Linked DNA regions of Drosophila melanogaster. Changing the gene in region 1 together with any one later gene gives a genetic interaction. Each region holds a gene or a part of one and is shown in the gene's direction. Other genes may lie near its edges.

Region 1 (4,403 bases):
GTGGCCAGTCGAGTGGAACGGTTGCAGTTGCAGATGCAGTTACTCCGAAAGATCCCGACCGCGAGACACAGCGCAGAAGATGGAGAGCCGCCAGCGCTTTGGCATTTCGTGTTCATTTAAATTTTTCACAGTCTATGAAATATAATAAGTTTGCGACATGTGCACCGCTACGTTCCCATCCCATAATTAGCCAAACGAACTTTAATTAAAAATCGAGCTCTTTTCCGTTTCGGGGGAATCTATATTTTCGGGATCACATATGGCCCACGAATAGGCTATACAATGTCTGCAGCAGATCACCACTTTCAGTTCCGTTCGGAACCACCTACGCAGAACTGCTGGCCATTCCCAATGTGTTTACGGTGGGCCAGTCCGCGTCCACTTTATGACTTTTCGTTTCGCGCGCACATCCAAAAATTCAAATGGGCCGTAGCGGAATAATGGCAAACCAACGCAACGCAACACAACAGAAGAGGAAAGATTACGCTTTTCTGTTTATTCCACTTCGATGGGTATGCACTGTACAGTGCGTGGTGAAACTATAAGGATAAGTTACTTACTAAGTTCACTATACGAGTTTTCTATAAGGGAATATACTCTTAGACTTGAGAACATGCAACTGTTTGCGGAAACTATCTGTTAAATATTATTTCTCGTTTAATAACTAACATATTTCTTAAATTCCACAACAGTTTCGTGACGCACTGCCCGTTGTGAGTGTGTGGAAAATGCCAGGGAAAATGCATAAAGCGGCGGATGTTTTCATAATTTTTAATGCTTTAGTTTTATTTAAGTGTTTATGGAGAATAACTAATGAAAAACGTCATGAATTGCATATTCCGCCGCACTCGGGTATTAATAAACGGGCGGCGTGCATGGGCCTGTGCTTGTGTTAAAGCGCAACATGATTCGCTCGATTTAAAATGCATTTCCATGCCAATGGCAACGCGCCGAGTTGCCGCCCTTTGATTTATAAAACAGGCCGTTTCCTTAGCCGATTCCCCAGTCTCGACCGCATCCCAGATCTCTGCTCCATGTCGCCGCTGTTTGTTTACTTAATGTCAATGCAATTAAGGGGAAATACTTTTGGGCAAATATCTCGTTGCCAGCGACCGTGCCTAAAACAAATAAGCAGTCTCGTTACTTTACAGCCAGATCTCTTATATTTCCACGCTTTAAATGCTCTTGCGAATGTTCAGTTTACACATCAAATCTTAGCTATTCTAACACAAAACAATAAGCCAGGTTGTAGGTTGGGGTGTTTCATGTTGTCCAGGTATCCAGGGCAAGGCTCTGCAAGATAAAGGGATTAAGGATTGCGATTAGTTACAAACTTTTGGGATAGATGTTGTATCTGAATGGCAGATCTCTTAGGCAAGTGGTTCTCATGTTACACATATCTATTATTGTACAAATAAAATTCCTAATTAAACTATTATTGTATAAGACGGAGACTTTAAGATGCTAGTTTGCAAACAAATATTATAACTTAAGGTTTAAACATAGTCTATAAATTTATTAGACAAATACAGGGAATAGTTTACGGAATGTTGTCCTTGGATAATGTCATATTTTATGTCAAGAACTTAGCAACCTAGCATAAACACAAAATTCTAAAAAATGGAACTTACACAATCAAAACATTGAAATATAAGGCGACTACGCTGAATCACGGATCTTGCGCGGGGTTTAATGGCTTAGCTTAGGGTTCGGTACTGCGACTTCACTCCTTCTTGGGAACACTCAGCTCGTAGAAAAGCTTGCCCATGCCACCGATGCCGACGAGGGCGAGAGCGACGGTGACGCGGTAGAGCACGTTGTCCACGACGGATCCCTTGAGGAAGACGGGCTTGCCGTCCTTCTTCTGAAAGTGCTCCTGCACCTTGCGGATCTCGAAGTATCCCTTCTCGATCTGGTCCTTGGGCACGGCGGCGGACCGGCGGCCAGCGGTGGTAGCGAAGCTACGGACAACAGCCTGCCGAGGAGTACAAAATGTGCGGTTAGTTCTGAGGCTCCAGGGAACTTACGTAATTGGATGTAGGTAATGGGATCTCCAGTGTTTCGGAACTCATGCTGTTCCTCCAGAAAGGTGTGTAGAGTAATGTAAATTACTTACTCTCGACAGGTTCATCATTTTGCTGGGGTTTATTTTTAAGATTTAGCAAAAAGTGAGCAGTTTTCCTGGGCGAAAAATATCGGTCTGAAATATGACAGCTGACAACTGGAGATATATCGATGTATTATCGATACATCGATGTCGATATTTCCAGCAGTTTGGCATTCACCTGGAAATTCCTATTTAGTTTAATAAACAATTTAAGCAGCTGCCAATAAAAACATTTGTTTATAATTCCATAGCGTTACTAAAATACAGACGTTGTCATGGGCTTCCTCACAGTATTAAAAAAGATGCGACAGAAGGAAAGGGAAATGCGCATATTACTGCTGTGAGTTCCATGGAATTATAAAAAAATAAATAGTGATTCATGTATCGACTTTCTTATAGAGGTCTGGATAATGCCGGCAAGACGACAATCCTGAAGCGCTTTAATGGCGAACCCATAGACACCATCTCACCCACACTGGGATTCAATATTAAAACCTTGGAGCACAACGGCTACACCCTGAATATGTGGGATGTCGGTGGCCAGAAGTCTCTGCGATCCTACTGGAGAAACTACTTCGAGTCCACTGATGGTCTGGTCTGGGTGGTGGATAGCGCTGACAGGATGCGCCTAGAGTCCTGCGGCCAGGAGCTGCAAGTTCTGCTCCAGGAAGAGCGATTAGCTGGAGCCACACTCCTAGTTCTCTGCAACAAACAGGATCTACCGGGAGCCCTCTCATCCAACGAAATTAAAGAGGTTCACTCTCATTGATTTTTTATTGAAACAACACATTTAATATACTTTATATTTAAAGATACTACACCTAGAGGATATCACCACACATCATTGGCTGGTGGCCGGAGTTAGTGCAGTGACTGGCGAGAAACTGCTTAGCTCCATGGACTGGTTGATCGCCGATATAGCTAAGCGTATATTCACTTTGGATTAAATACAATTTATTTTACTTCCTTATTTCTCGACCAAGTACATTTTGTATAGCTTTTCCTGCTTTTCGTCCGCAAAATTGGGCTTAAAGTTCACCTTGTGTATGGATATAAATCCTTCGTCTAGGGCGGGTTCCTGGTACTTTTTCTTCATCATGTTAAATACCATGTCCTTGATCTTGGTGCGCGCGGAGTCTGATAGCTCTCGGAAAGCTATATTGTGCTTCACTTGGGCGACGGGCACATTCATCACAAGGCAGCGGCATGGAATCATCTTTTCGCTGGCCAACTGCAAGAATTTTTTTCGAGAAGCTGCATCCACATTGGTGTTATCCACCACACATGATTGGCCCGAGTCCAGGAACCGTTTACAGGCAGTCAGGCAGTTTTGAGTGCTACCCAATGTATCTGCATTGACGATTTTGTAGCCCCGCGGTTGAAAAAAGCTGGAACAAAAGTGGCTCTTTCCGGATCCTGGCAGACCCACCATGATGACCATTTCGCAGGGGTGGTCATCGAGGGTCAAGTCATCCGGATCAAGCAGAGATACTTGGTCCTGAACGCTAGTGGGTTCAAAGTCCGGCTTATTCCACTGCTCCACTTGTTTGCCCAGGAAATGAACCTCTGGAGTGTAGAATGAAATTCCCACGTTGGCTGCAAAAAGTCTGTCTACTAAAGAGTGATCTTTGCGCCGCTTGGTGGCTCCCTTGCCCGTCTCCGGTCTTCCGGCTGCATCGCCGACGAAGAAACATCGATCTTCCTGAATCTCAACGCCATCATTCATTTCACTCTTTAAGTGCTGCCACATTCCCGTCAAAGGTTTGCGATAAAATCCATCACCTATGGCTATAAATACTTGAATTGGAACTCCCAGTTTAGCCACAATATGCTTGATCTTGACCTTAAAGTCATCTAGGTTGATTTTTCCACGAGCAATGCCTCCTTGGTTGGTGAAGAGACAGATTTTAAACCCATCCTTGTGGAGATTCTTTAGTTTCTCCGGCACTTCGGGAAATATGATCTGCCAGTCGTCGGTGTTTTTGGGGAACACCAGTCCCGATTTTGTTTTTATAATGGTGCCGTCCATGTCGTAGCCAGCTATCTTTTCAGAACCTTTAACGCCGACGCTGGTAAAGATAACCAGCTTACCATTGCCAGATGAGTCCCACCTCTCGGATTTCTCTGACGGTGATAGTGTTGTGGACAACGGCTCAGCTTTCTCCTTGTCATACTCCGGTGGAGGGTTAAAGACGACCTCGAACTGATGCCTGCCGTAAACGATCTCCACCAAGTCTCCGTGCTTCAGCTCGCGTTCCCCGTTCTGCATAAGCATCAGACCATTGACGCCGCAGGG
Region 2 (6,150 bases), 7.7 Mb from region 1:
CTGAGCTTGACTTGCTGATCGGCACTCAGGGCCCCCATCTCCTTTATGTGCTTGGTGGCTATGTGGAAAATAAATAAACACTTAAGACTGACGCTTAAAATATCTGCCATATCGGCTAACTCAGCCGAAAGGCTATAAGCGACATATCTAATGCGGAGACCACACCAAACGCGCAAAACTCGAGCCCTCTATCACTATCAGTGGACCACCCGGAAACGCATGCCTCAGCTCGGTTTCTGGGAATTGTTGGACAACAAACATGTTCATATGTATATGTATGTTGTTTTTATGGTTTTATTATTTGGATATATACAAAATACAACAAAAAATTTATTTATTTATGAGTAAGGCTGGAAAGGGGGAGGGTGTTTGGGGGCTGGTAATGTGTGTTTGCGAAAAAGAAAATCCTTAAAATATTTATATGTATATGTATATTAGTGTTAGCCCATAAGGTGTTTATAGCTCACCAATTTCACGGCCCGTTGTTCGGTTTCGCCAATGGATCACTAGGCCGAATCCGCCCTCTCCCAGATTCCGGCACCGCTCCCAGTTCCCAAAAGAGTGCATCTTGTTGTTTTCGTTAAGCTTTATTTTATTTACGGAGCTCATTCTTCCAAGAATCTGAATCCCTCCATGGCAATCGGAAAAGCAAAACACCACAGTGATCATACAAGATTTGCGATATTCGATTGCTTATACACTAGTCATCGTTCAGCAGCAATCGCGGTCACGAGAATTTTGTTTAGAGGAGCGCTCAGCTGCAGCCACTTTCAATTGGGATGCATACCTTTAAATAAACTGGACGAATTGGGATACCCAAAAACGTTTTTAATTGAAGCTTAGAAATGGTGGCTTAAAATGTCAACTGCTACTGAAGTCACCCTTCGGTCACTATTTGCTTCACTCGCCTCAATTTTTATCGATTAAGTTATCGCAACGAAGTGACATCGCTAATCAAACAGGTTGTAAACAAAACGCTGAAAAATAACTTTAGTTTAGTGAAAATAGTAATACTCCTGCATGCTTGAGCTAAGATGCGTTTCCACATGAAGAGCGGCAGCGAGGACAATGACATTGTGGCGGCCACAGCCACTGCCGAGCATATCCGCAAGTTTGTCTTCAGCGGATCACCCGCCGAGCGACTGGAGATCAAAATACCTGAGGTAATCCTTAGAACCAGGTGTTCGTGTAGTATCTAAAGTGTCCGCCTACAGCTGCTTCAGGGTGCCTACTCCTTCTACACATGGCCTTGCGCACCAATTTTAGCCCACTTCCTGTGGGAGCGCCGACAGACACTGGCGGGCAAGCGCATCCTGGAGCTGGGAAGCGGCACCGCCCTGCCCGGCATTCTGGCGGCCAAATGCCGCGCCCAAGTGGTACTTACTGACAACTGCATTCTGCCCAAGTCACTGGCCCATATCCGAAAGTCCTGCCTGGCCAATCAACTGCAGCCGGGCGTTGATATCGATGTGGTGGGCCTGAGTTGGGGCCTGCTGCTGAACAGCGTGTTCCGACTGCCGCCTCTGGACCTTATCATTGCAGCAGACTGCTTCTACGATCCCAGCGTGTTCGAGGATATCGTGGTCACAGTTGCTTTTCTGCTGGAGCGAAATGCCGGGGCCAAATTTATATTTACATACCAGGAGCGGAGCGCCGACTGGTCCATAGAGGCGCTGCTCAAGAAGTGGAAGCTGCAGGCTTTACCCATCAGCATGGAGGACATTGGCAAGGAGTCGGGAGTGGATCTGCTGGAGTTTATGGGCGGACACACTATTCATCTTCTGGAGATCACGCGCATCGAAAGCGATGGCTCAATAAATACAACATAACAATTATACAATTGGCTTTTTTTATGCTGAATGTCAAATCTCTCTTAGTTAATGTTCTACACGGGAATGCTCCCAAACATCAAATAAATATTTGCCTGTGGTAATCGCTTGAAATCAATGTTGGCCAAATATTTGGAAATATATGTTTAAAATTTAGCGCGTACCTATCAAAGTTTTCCACCCAGCACACTAATTCTAGGTTTTAGGGGATGCTAGAGTTGTGAGTAGCGGTCACACTGGCGCAACGACGCTGTTGGAAAACTGCGAAAATTATTATTTATTTACCTACCGCGAAACCAAGTAAATTCCGCTGCACAAAAGAGGCTCGAAGTGCTGGAAACGTAGTTAAGTTATTGTTCATTGTTGCTACATTACTTGGCATCCCGGAAAGACCCCGTCGGTGTGTCTTTGTCGAATAAGTGTGCGTGCTTCTGTGTTGTGCCGTGTGTAAGTGTTGGTACGTCGTCGCCTGCGAAAAATCGAAGTTATTGCATTGCGCAGCCCTTTCAAGCCGCTGTCCCTGGCCAGCTGTAAGTCCCGCAGCTCCTCGCCCAGTCCCCGCTCTACGGCGGTACTTGGATCACAATTCTGATGGTGAGTGTGCTAGTGCGTGTACCGGAATGCACTCGGATGCATCGCGATTTTGTTCCAGGGCGTCGCAATTTGTTTGTCGCTAAAATGGGCGATATGTGCTTCATCTGCGGCTCTCAAGTTGCAGCCACTGGAAATTGATAGCCGCTGCAACCATTGGCGGTTGGGTGGAACGGTAAACGACGGCATAATCCAGACACACAGCCCACAGGAGAAACATTTGTTGTTGCCTGCGGTATGATCCGTTAATTCGAACTTGAGAGCGTCGGTGTGCGTGAGAGCTTGAAAGAGCGAAATCAAGAGAGAGGAAGAAACAAAGCGCGGGCATATCCGAATTGAAAAATGCTCTACTCAAACGTGAGCACAGTAGGAGCGCATCAAAACAATATTAAAGAGACAGATGCATGAATAATAAATGGGAGTGATGGAAAATCCACGCCTGATTCAGTCGCAGGCTTTCGTGTGCGTGTGTCACCTTTTGTAGTGGTTGTGCGGGGGGTATTTGCCGTGCCCCTGATTAATTGACTGAAAAAATAACGCGCTATTCAGCGACATGATATCACCCATCCTGGGTGACAAGCCCACCAACCTTTTCCGAAAATCCAAATTTACACTCTCCTATTTCTGCTTCTGTTTGCCAAATAACTGCACTTAGAAAACGACAATCTAAATATGGCCGACCCATTTACTTTTTTCCGCCCCTCGAGCGAAACGGATGGATGATTCTGCTTCCTTGGCCATCGGTATTTCATAGACTATTAAGCTCAATTTTAAAACATCAGCTCGATGACTCCTGACATCCGGAATAGTTCTGCTTCATTGGAAGCTTGGCTAGTTTTTCTTTTAAGAAAAATTCGATTAAAGTAGCTTTTTTATACATATTTATCTTTTTGTTTCGCAGAATGCTGCTTGAGGCTGTTTGCGACTGAGACCATTGAGGAGAACCCGAGTAGCGTACGAAACACGACACAATGGCCGAGGACACAGAGTACAAGAAGTTGCCGGTGGAGGAGCGGTGTGTCCATAAACTATGGAAAGCCCGCGTCGATGGTTACGAGGAGGCCGCAAAGATCTTTCGCGAGCTGGATGACGAGAAGTCGCCGGAATGGTCTAAATTTGCAGGGCTCATAAAGAAGATGGTAGTGGACTCTAATGCTCTGGCCCAGGAAAAGGGTCTAGAAGCGGCCCTCATTTTTGTGGAGAACAGCGGGCTGGCGGGACGCACAGTAGGCGACGTGATGACAGGCATCGTTCAGAAGTGCATTGCGGCGCCAAAGACCAAAACCAAGGAGCTCTCCGTCCAAGTGGCTCTAATGTATGTGGAGATAGAGAAGCAGGAGGCCGTCGTCGAAGAGCTGGTTAAAGGTATGGAGGCCAAGAACCCTAAGATTGTGTCTGCCTGCGTGGCAGCCACCACACTGGCCCTCCGCGAGTTCGGACACAAGGTGATCGGCGTCAAGCCGTTAATTAAAAAGCTTGCTCCGCTAATGTCTGACCGAGACAAGACGGTCCGAGATGAGGGCAAGCAGCTGGCTGTTGAGATTTACCGTTGGATCGGAGCTGCAATGAAGGCACAGATCTCAACGCTACCACAGGTAACGCTAAAGGAGCTGGAGGATGAATTCGACAAACTCAAAGGTGAACGCGTTGAACCCTCCAGGTGTGTTCAAGGATTTCTCTCTATCATTGCCTAGCTAAACCGCTCTTACTTTTAGATATCTAAAGTCCCAGCAGGAAAAGCAAGCGAAGATCGCCGATGCTGCAGCGACCGAGGATGCATATAATGGTATGAAGCCCTCGATATTACAAAAGCAGTGAATTATTGATTTGATTTTGGTTTTCGTATGCAGAGGATGATGGCGAGGCTGGCGTTGAAGAAATCGATCCTATGGATCTTCTAGACCCCGTTGACATTCTCTCCAAAATGCCCAAGGACTTCTACGATAAGCTGGAGGAAAAGAAATGGACTCTGCGCAAAGAATCGTTGGAAGTCCTGGAGAAACTGCTCACTGACCACCCCAAGCTAGAGAATGGCGAGTATGGAGCGCTGGTAAGCGCTCTTAAAAAGGTTATAACCAAGGACTCCAACGTAGTCCTCGTTGCAATGGCCGGAAAATGTCTAGCCTTGCTAGCCAAAGGATTGGCAAAGCGATTCTCAAATTACGCATCCGTAAGTAACTCTCACCTTCTTCCAAATAACGTGTTTTCATATGTGTTCTTCTATTTCAGGCTTGTGTCCCATCCCTGTTGGAAAAATTTAAAGAGAAGAAACCTAATGTTGTGACAGCGCTGCGTGAAGCTATTGATGCCATATACGCCTCCACTTCTCTAGAGGCCCAGCAAGAGTCCATTGTAGAGTCCCTGTCCAACAAAAATCCAAGTGTTAAGTCCGAAACGGCCTTGTTTATTGCCCGTGCCCTAACCCGCACCCAACCAACCGCGCTAAACAAAAAGCTGCTTAAACTTCTGACCACCAGTCTAGTGAAAACGCTTAACGAACCAGATCCAACCGTACGCGACAGCAGCGCCGAAGCTCTTGGTACTTTAATAAAGCTAATGGGAGACAAAGCGGTGACTCCTTTGCTCGCCGACGTCGATCCACTCAAAATGGCCAAGATAAAGGAGTGCCAAGAAAAGGCGGAGATTAAAATAAAGGTTGCAGGTCCAAAGAAGGAGACACGACCTGCATCTGCACCGACTGCGAAAGCTGCTGCTCCGGCTAAGACAGTGGCTGGTAGTGTGGACCCTAAGCCAGTAACCCGACCGGCCACTACAGGGGCACGTAAGGTCTTGAAAAAACCGGCGACGGTTAGTGGAGGAGGAGCTACATCTGCCCCAACTGCAGCTCTTAAAGCGGGTGGAAAACCCCTAGCCACGGAACGCGAAATAACCCCCGAGGAATTGCAAGAAAAATCCGAAGAAATTCTGCCAGCCGAAATTCTTAATGGGCTGGTGGATTCCAACTGGAAGAACCGCCTTGCTGCTGTGGAACAGCTTCTGGGCGAAATAAGCGGTTTTGATGCAAAACAGGCTGGCATATCACAGATCCTGATCCGAACAATCAGTGGACGAAAGCCAGGCCTCAAAGAAATGAATTTCCAGGTACTCAAGTTTAAGCTAGACATAATCCGCAGTGTGGCTGAAAACTATCCACTGACCACGACAACCGTTGATCTGGTGATTAACGAAATAATCGAGAAGCTAGCAGACGCCAAGAATGGTGCAGCAGCTGCAGATGTTTTGTCTGCCTTTGCCGAAGCCACTAAACTGGAGTATGTTGTGGGCAAAGTATTGAGCTTTGCTTTTGAACAAAAATCGCCTAAAGTGCAATCAGAGGCCTTTAACTGGGTTAACAGGTCAATCATAGAATTCGGCTTCCAATTGCAGCCAAAGACACTTATTGAAGATGTACGAAAAGGCGTGCAGAGCACGAATCCAACGGTTCGTGCTTCCGCCATTCAAATGGTAGGCACCATGTCTATGTATATGGGCAAAGCTCTAATGATGTTCTTCGACAGCGAGAAGCCTGCACTAAAGTCCCAGATCCAGGTAGAGTTTGACAAGAATGTGGGCGAAAAACCACCCAAGCCTGTTAGAGGAGTTCAACGTAGCAGCGGTGGAACCGCTGGTAATTCCCCAGACAATGAGGACGATGATGGTGGGGCAGCCGGAGAAGAGGAGCCCATTAATATGGCTGATCTTCTACCACGCGTTGATATTGCTCCACAGA
Region 3 (7,936 bases), on another chromosome or scaffold:
ATGCACCGGACGTCAATTTTCATTACAATTGAACTGAGATTGTTTTCGACCAAGTTGCCTCTTTTATTTGTTTTATTTATGGTTGACATTTCGTAGTGGAACATCGGGAAATGAAACCGAATCGATTTTAGGATTATCTCACCTTAAAATCATTGGACCTTTTTTAAATCGTATGCACATATTTATTACGTGTCTATTCGAAAACAGAATCTTAAATCAATTCAAATCCATTAAAATTCCTTCCAGATGACATCCCAATGATAAGCTAAACCTTAAAATTTAATCAGCATCAGCTGTTATTTTGTTTGTATATTCCATTTCGTGTAAATTGCTTTAAAACAGCCCGCGAATGGCATACCCGGAGTCAAAATGGTTAAATTATTGGACAATACAAATCAATATTTTACAAGCAATTCAGCGTGTGGATAATGGTCTTATGATAGGCATTTTGCCAAACAACTACTCATGTATGAGTAGGGTTTCATCTAAGACTTGTAACAATATGAAAGGAATACTCCTTAGAGAATTATTGGTGAATGTAAAATCGTAAAAATTTGGTATGAAGTCTTCATAGCAGAGGCTCATTCTCTATCTTGACATCGCACTCAACCATGGAGCTGTCGACATAGTCAAACGAAGTTGGTGTTTTTCGGCTACTGATTTGGTAGCTGGAATTGGATAGATGGTACTGGGATTTCTCCAGCTGAGTGGCAAAACTGGAATTCGGGGCTGGTGTTAGTTTGGGCATGCTGCGCTCTAGAACGTCTTCGGGTCCCGCCGCCGCGAGCATGTGCTGATCCTCCTCCCTGAGTTCCACCAGAACGCGCGCCATCTCCATTCGAAACTTAAGATTGCTAATGGCTGACAGAGACTTTACGTGCGGCATCATGCTCATCAAGAAACTCAAGTCCGAATCGTTCTTTAGATCGGGTTCAGTGGTAGACTTTGACGCCTGGCTGGCGTATCCATTCAATAAGGGGACATCGTTAGACGGCGAAGTTTTCCTCCGACGTCCTCTCTTCGAAGGCGGGGGTGGACGTGGCAGGAATTGTTGGTGGCGCGGCAAGTGTATGGGCAATGTGGGCGATAGATCCTGATCGGAACGATGGGCGCCCGAGGATGAAGAATCCAAAGGCTTGATCAGCGAGCCTTTATCCGAGCCAGAGTCCTGGGGCACTGACGGCTCCCGCTTAAATATGTCCTCGATGATTTCAAAGTCAACAGAGTCATCATTGTCCAAATCCAAATCGATAGCGAAGTCAACCAGTCGGGTGGGCTCGAAGACTTCCGGCTGCTCGGTGTTCATCACGAAGGGCTCTGGTGGAAAGGGCACCAGGCCCTCCGGATCGAAGATTTGGCGCATGAACTCCAGTGAGCGAAAGTATGGCCAGTGGGACATCTCGATTCGTTTCTGCTGTATCTTGCGCACCTCTGCCCGGTAGCTGTCCCGCATTCCCTTGAAACGTTTCTTGCAGATCGAGACTGCAAAATGACCAGGTGTTATTTATAGGTTTCCTAGGCATATAAAACCCTCCTCGTTTATCCGCCACTCACCATCCTGCTGCATTATCTGCGCGACACTCGCCCACTGGAGAGCTGCGTCCTGGTTGCGGTACGAAATGGACATGTTTGTGTCCCACAGGCACCGCCGCTTGGACACCTCCTGTATGAGACGGTAGTTATCTGATTTCATGGCGCAGTGGACCAGAAATTGCGGTTTGTCCACAAATGCAATGCTCCGAAACTTGCGGATCCCGAATTTTCAACGCAATTTTCACAGCAATGACCGCGCTCACAGCAAACTCGACGAATGTGTGAGCGGTTTCGACCCGACGGTAACACTTTTAATATCCCAAATTCGGGCTTGCTTTGCTGCGTTTTGGTGGAATATACAAAATCTTGCTCTTGCTAAATCTCGCAGTTTCGCTTGCCACTACAAATAAATGATTAATTGCGCCTGGCAGCTCTGGTCGAACAGCTGCTTAACGGTATTACCAGGTGCATGCAAAACGGCCACACCAAAGGCACTATGACACTAGATGAACTTATTTAGTAGGATTTATTACAAACGTTTAAAGAGCACAATGTACAATAACTGCATTTGATTCCAAAAAAAAATGTTAGTTTAAAGATAAAGAATTAGATAAAGACCCTTTTGGTCGAAAAACAGTAAGAAAGAGACGAGTCAGTTCGTGGTGTCATACCAGCATACTTTCATTGGGGTTGCAACCCTGGCAGTAAAACAAATGATTCACAAACGAATTGATTTTGTTGCCGGCTGTGGGTTTAAAACTCGATAAAATCGTCAAGCAGCCATGTCGAATTCTGTGGAAGAGTGCAAGGATGAGGACCTGCCGGCAAACACGCTGGAGCACTTCACCGAACTGCAGCAGGTGCTGGAGATGATCGACAACATCAAATCCATTGCCGCTAACACCTTCGAAAGGGAGTTCGAGCAGTACGCCCAGGTTTTGTCTAGATATCAGGAGCAGCCACACCTCTTGGATCCACATTTGGAGGAGTTACTCGGCAAACTGCTCCACAAGATTCGGAAGCCAGATCTAGACACTGGAGAGCTTCATGCAGCCTTCAAGTATCTCTACATCATCTGCAAAGTGCGCACCTATAAGGTCCTGGTAAAGTTTATGCCACACGAACTGAGCGATCTGGAGTTTGTTCTGGATTTGCTGGGTCAGCAAAATCCCAAGGAGTTCGAACAGTGGGAAACGCGCTATATACTGCTCCTGTGGATGTCTATCCTGGTCCTAAATCCCTTTCACATGTCGAGACTAGATGCCTATGACACCTCCACATCTGCTCCCACCACCAATTGCAGTCCCGTGAACCATGTTCAGTCGAAGAACACCAAGATGGATCGCATCTTCGAGCTCATCCAGCTTTATGTGTCCTCCAACGACACATGCAGCAGCATGGCTGCTTTCCTGGCCGCCAAGTATTTCATTCGCAGTGACATCAAGGATCTATATCTGGAGCGCTTCCTGGACTGGATTATGGAGCAGCACCAAGCGGACACGTTGAACGTCAAGTTCGGCCAACTGGCTGCAGTGGCTGCTATTTTAAAGCACGGAAAGCGAGAAGATCTTCTGCCCTATGCGGACAAACTTCTTCAGTGGATCACTTCCTGTCAGTACAAGGATGACAACGACTTTCTCAAGTACAAGAACTATGTAAAAATCATCCAGAGAATTGGATTGGTTCATTTGAAGCCACGCATTGCCAGCTGGCGGTATAAAAGAGGTAAGCCTGGGGTTTGTTATTCACGCATGAAACCATAATAAACTAGTGTTTTCTTAGGCACTCGTTCACTGGCCACCAATCTAAACCAGACAACTGCGGCAGGAGGTGAACCAGTTGTTTTGGAGCAATCCCTGGAGGAAGGCGAGGAAATAGTGGTCCCCGATGCCATAGAAGAGGTGATTGAGGAGCTGCTCCAGGCACTGCGAAGCGGAGGAAACGATATACGCTGGAGCGCCGCCAAAGGATTAGGCAGAGTCACCAATCGCCTTCCCAAGGAGCTGGCCGATGAGGTTATAGGGTCTGTGATTGATATACTCAACCCGCTGGAACCCCACGAGGCCTGGCATGGTGCATGCCTGGCTTTGGCAGAACTGGCAAAAAGGGGATTGCTGCTGCCACATCGATTGGAGGAGCTAGTACCCCTCCTTATGCAGGCGCTCTTCTACGACGAGATGAAGGGCTACATGTCGGTGGGGCAACACATCCGAGATTCAGCCTGCTACATGTGCTGGGCATTTGCCAGGGCTTACAATCCGGATGATGTGAAGCCATTTGTGCACAAAATCTCATCTGGCCTGCTGACCGTTGCAGTGTTCGACCGCGAGGTGAACTGCAGGCGGGCTGCCTCGGCAGCTTTTCAGGAAAGTGTGGGACGCCTGGGCAACTTTCCCTTCGGAATCGAAATCTCCACCACGACGGACTTCTATTCCGTGGGCATCAGGCAGAATTCCTATCTAAACATCAGTGACTACATTGCACAGTTTGAGGTGTACAGGGAACCATTGATTAACCATCTAGTTCAGCATAAGGTAAGCCATTGGGATTCGGCTATAAGGGAGCTGACAGCCAAAGCCCTGCACAAACTATCCCTTTGGGAGCCCGAGTACATGGCCGCTGTGGTGCTGCCGCAACTGCTGGCAAAAACTGACACCATCGATATTAACTGCCGGCATGGTTGTGTCTTAGCCATGGGAGAAATAACACTGACCCTACGGAAACTAGAGGAAAAGAGTGATCCCCAAGTGGTTTACCTCTCCAACCAACGGGTTGCGGAGCTGAATGAACTAATAATAACGTTCCTAGACAAAAATTTCTATCGCGGAATGAGCGGCGACCTGATGAAATCTTGCACCAGCAGCTACATAAAGAACTGCAGTCTGGCCAAGTTGCAGGCTACGCCGGAGTGCTTGGGTAGGAAAAGAGTCCCTAAAGTATAACAAGCATATTATTTAATTGCGTTTATTCGTTTCAGTTTCCTGGCAGAAAGTCATCGATTCCTGTTTGATCACCAAATCAAACGCTATTCGGGATGGTGCGGTGGAAGCGTTCGGTGAACTCTGTACCACTTATTACTGCTCAGATTCCAGGCACGGGGAAAACGAAGCCATAATCAACACTTATCTAACAGGTGCAGATAACGATTTGGAGGAGCACATTCGCATGGGCTACATTGCTGCTCTGGGTGTGCTCCCATCCTTTATGATCCGCTGTCATCTGCAGGCTATATTGGACAGTCTGGTGAAGCACTCCCTAACTCCACTGCAAGCAGTTCTGGTGGGTGAAATGGGTGACCGCGAGAACATCCAGGCATACAGGTGGAGCGAGGCACGGACACAGAGCGTGCTGGCCTTGACCAAGTTGGTGAAGACCGTGGGATATGGAGGGGGAATTGGTGAGTCAATGATCTTAGTTGTGGGCTAAGAATGTGAACAAATCTTAGTATACAATTATTTTTTCAGACTCATTTGCTGAGCCGAAAAACTTTAACAAGGTTATCGAATGCCTGTTAAGAGCTCTTCAAGAGTACACCCTGGACAACCGTGGTGACATCGGAGCGTGGGTGAGGGAGGCGGCTATGTCATCGCTATACGAAATCGTCACTACGTGTCCGCCTGATCTCCTCGCCCCAGAGCAAGTGCATGAGATTGTCGTGGGCTTTATGCAACAGGCGGTGGAGAAGATCGATCGCACTCGTGGATTAGGTGGTCGCCTTTGCTGCCAACTGATCCATCATCAGCCGAGGATCCCCTACATACGGGAGCACTCAAAACTCTTGGAAATATTTCCCGCGGATGCGGATTCCGTACTTTGGTTATTTGCCGATCACACATTCCCGCTGTTCTGCGAGCTGCTCTCTCTGCCGGATTACTCTAAAAGAGTTCTTTTGGGTCTGAGTGCCAGCATTGGTCAACTGACTGAATCTCTTGTAAGTTGTATAGACCACCTCTATATCAATCTCTAAAATATTCTTCCTGCAGATCAAGTATGCCTCCAGTGCCTTATTCCACTTCTTGCGTTCCAATCCTGAGACTGTTCCGCGTCTCTGCTCCGAGGTGGTCCAGATTTTCGAGGAGCATCTACTAAACGAGCGCGTGACCTATCCTCTGCTCAGTTTCCTGGATATACTCATTGGCTCCGGAACTGTAGAATCGGTTCTACACGATGAAGCAAATCCCTTTGCAGAGGATATCTTTAGGCTGCTCAACCTGGAGGTTAAGGGCTACAAGAAGCTGTACAAGACTGCGACCAGCATCAGTGCTTTTTGCCAGTTGCTCCAGGTTCCTCGCCTGTCTAAACGCATCCTCTCCAAGCTCTCAGTATTTCTTGGACTGCAGCACGTCCACGTTCGCAAAACCGCTGCCACAAAATTGTACGAAGCGTTGGCTCTGCACGGCGATGTCACCGAAGTGCCCGAGGAGAATATGGATGAGATCCTAACACTGCTCTCCGAAACGGACTGGACCCAGCCGCTGGTGGAGGTGCGTCCGCTGCGGAACCAGTTGTGCCAACTAATGGACATCAAGCCTCCCGTAAGTGGAGCAGCTGCTGCAGCCGCTTTGCAGCAAGCGAGTGCTGATAAATGAATGTTCCCACATGTATTTAATATATATTAATGCACAATTGTACTGACAACATACATAAGTGGTATTCATAAGAATTTTTATTCTTTATTTTGGAAGCACATCTTTATTTTAACATGTTTTTTAATATTTATCGTTTTCAAAACAAAGAGCTTGTAAGTTCGATTTTAAAATTTCACTTGCTCAAAATAAATTAAATATTGTTCAACATTTCAAAAACCAACGAACACTTTTTGATAAAAAGTGGCTATTTTCAAGCCAAATAATTTCGAATAGGCGCTGGGCCATTTCCCATTTCATTGCGACGGTCACACTGCGACAGAGACAGAAAAAAACAAGACAGGCGAGGGAATGAAAAATAAATATAAATTAAACGCGGACTACCCAAAAGCAAGGAGGGATAAAGGAGTCGAGATCAATTAAACACCGCCGGACTTCACACGGAGAAATTTGTCATAGAAATTGGTTTTTTTGTAAATAAAACACGAACTCGCAAAACACACGTTTCTTTCGCCGCACAACGTTGTTACGTTACACAATTGTGGATTGTGGTGTCACCTACTCCGCAGCCAGTGCAAATCACGATGAGTATTTGGGGGGTCCGATGTCTGACGCAGAGGTTCATCCGGCAGGCGTACATCCTGGCCAACAGAAGGCTATTGGGTCCAGTGCCGCAGCGCTCGCCGCCGGCATACGGTAAGTGAGGTTATGGCCGGCTGGCCAAACCGATCCGTGTTTTCATGTTTTTGCCGATAACTAACTAGCATTCACGTCGATTTCAGCTCCTCTTCGGCCAGCCCACAGCAGCCTCTATCAAATGGTAAAGAAACGCACCCTTGAGGCGCGCACCAAATTGCAAGCCAACAAATATCCAAATCATCAAGTCTGCGTCACCAAGCCCTCGACCACGCCCCCCGTTGAAGAGTACGAGACGGCGGTGGAGGGAGCCGGCGTTCCCGCCTACGCCAATGCCCAGTTTCAAGCCCATTCCCAATCGGAGCCACTCTTTAAAGTGGTACCCATCGTTCATACCATTCACCATCCATTTGCATTAGCTGGATAAGTTGGGGATGCAAACTAACTTCCTACAAGCCTTGTGAAATTGATAACTAGCGAAAACATAGCTGGGTTATTAAACAGAAACCAGTTTGCATCCCCATCAAAGACTTGCAGAGTTATTAACAAATATTAAACAATATAATCAATTTCCAGGGCTTTGCTGACGTCAAGTCCGTCTGCAGTGCTAAGGATGTGTTAAAGTCGGACAGTGCAAAGCTCAGCACCAGCCAACCCGTCCTGGATTCCTGCAAAGCGACTAGTCCCTGCGAGGAATTCAAGCGCAAACGAAAGGAGACCACCTGCCAGCCCTGCGACGAGGATGGTACTGCTCCCGGTGGCGGTGATGGTGGAGACGAGGAGTGCGAGTGTCGGATGAAGGACCTACGGCTTAAGTGCCTCTTGGGTGCCCTGGCTGCCTTGTTAGCCGGAGGATTTGTATGTTTCGATCTGATATCTAAAGGAAATATTCTCTAATTACTTTGCTATCATATAGCTCGCTTGGTTTATGACGCGGGATACGGATGACAGTGAAGCCAAAAAAGCCGAGGCGGAGGAGGAGGAACGAAAACGTAGATTAGTTGCTGGACTAGCCACGAGTAAGTAAAGCGAAAACCATAGATTTTTGAATTGGTAGGCTAGATTAAACCACATTTGCCAACTGATTCAGATAAGCATTATCTTATACATACCTCAAAATCATCATGATTGGATAATAATTACAACAATTTTCAAGATAGGCCGAGGTAACTTATCACTTT

The links.
Region 2: of Arl2 (region 1) and msps, changing one suppresses a phenotype caused by changing the other (phenotypic suppression), as found in Drosophila melanogaster (one study listed by BioGRID).
Region 3: of Arl2 (region 1) and Tbcd, changing one enhances a phenotype caused by changing the other (phenotypic enhancement), as found in Drosophila melanogaster (one study listed by BioGRID).

What each region holds. Positions count from the first base shown.
Region 1 is NT_033777.3:8,338,797-8,343,199, forward strand, and holds Arl2 (ADP ribosylation factor-like 2), read left to right. Parts: upstream 1-2,303; 5' UTR 2,304-2,382; coding exon 2,383-2,447; intron 2,448-2,506; coding exon 2,507-2,861; intron 2,862-2,864; exon of another isoform or gene 2,865-2,919; coding exon 2,920-3,054; 3' UTR 3,055-3,074; downstream 3,075-4,403. Other genes in the region: COX7A (cytochrome c oxidase subunit 7A), read right to left, coding at 1,724-1,975, 2,028-2,072; PNKP (polynucleotide kinase 3'-phosphatase), read right to left, coding at 3,075-4,403. UniProt on the Drosophila melanogaster protein: GTP-binding protein involved in protein trafficking; may modulate vesicle budding and uncoating within the Golgi apparatus.
Region 2 is NT_033777.3:16,048,754-16,054,903, forward strand, and holds the start of msps (mini spindles), read left to right. Parts: upstream 1-2,047; 5' UTR 2,048-2,423; intron 2,424-3,124; exon of another isoform or gene 3,125-3,163; intron 3,164-3,321; 5' UTR 3,322-3,391; coding exon 3,392-4,080; intron 4,081-4,135; coding exon 4,136-4,206; intron 4,207-4,270; coding exon 4,271-4,590; intron 4,591-4,649; coding exon 4,650-6,150. Other genes in the region: IKKbeta (I-kappaB kinase beta), read right to left, coding at 1-58, 468-567; CG5013 (uncharacterized protein), read left to right, coding at 1,035-1,163, 1,215-1,829. UniProt on the Drosophila melanogaster protein: Binds to the plus end of microtubules and regulates microtubule dynamics and microtubule organization. Function in neurons is essential for adult survival, and is important for climbing behavior and activity.
Region 3 is NT_033779.5:2,145,332-2,153,267, forward strand, and holds Tbcd (Tubulin-binding cofactor D), read left to right. Parts: upstream 1-2,186; 5' UTR 2,187-2,315; coding exon 2,316-3,258; intron 3,259-3,315; coding exon 3,316-4,449; intron 4,450-4,510; coding exon 4,511-4,930; intron 4,931-4,997; coding exon 4,998-5,464; intron 5,465-5,516; coding exon 5,517-6,122; 3' UTR 6,123-6,333; downstream 6,334-7,936. Other genes in the region: CG11723 (uncharacterized protein), read right to left, coding at 569-1,482, 1,555-1,693; AIF (apoptosis inducing factor), read left to right, coding at 6,704-6,815, 6,902-7,134, 7,332-7,613, 7,672-7,774.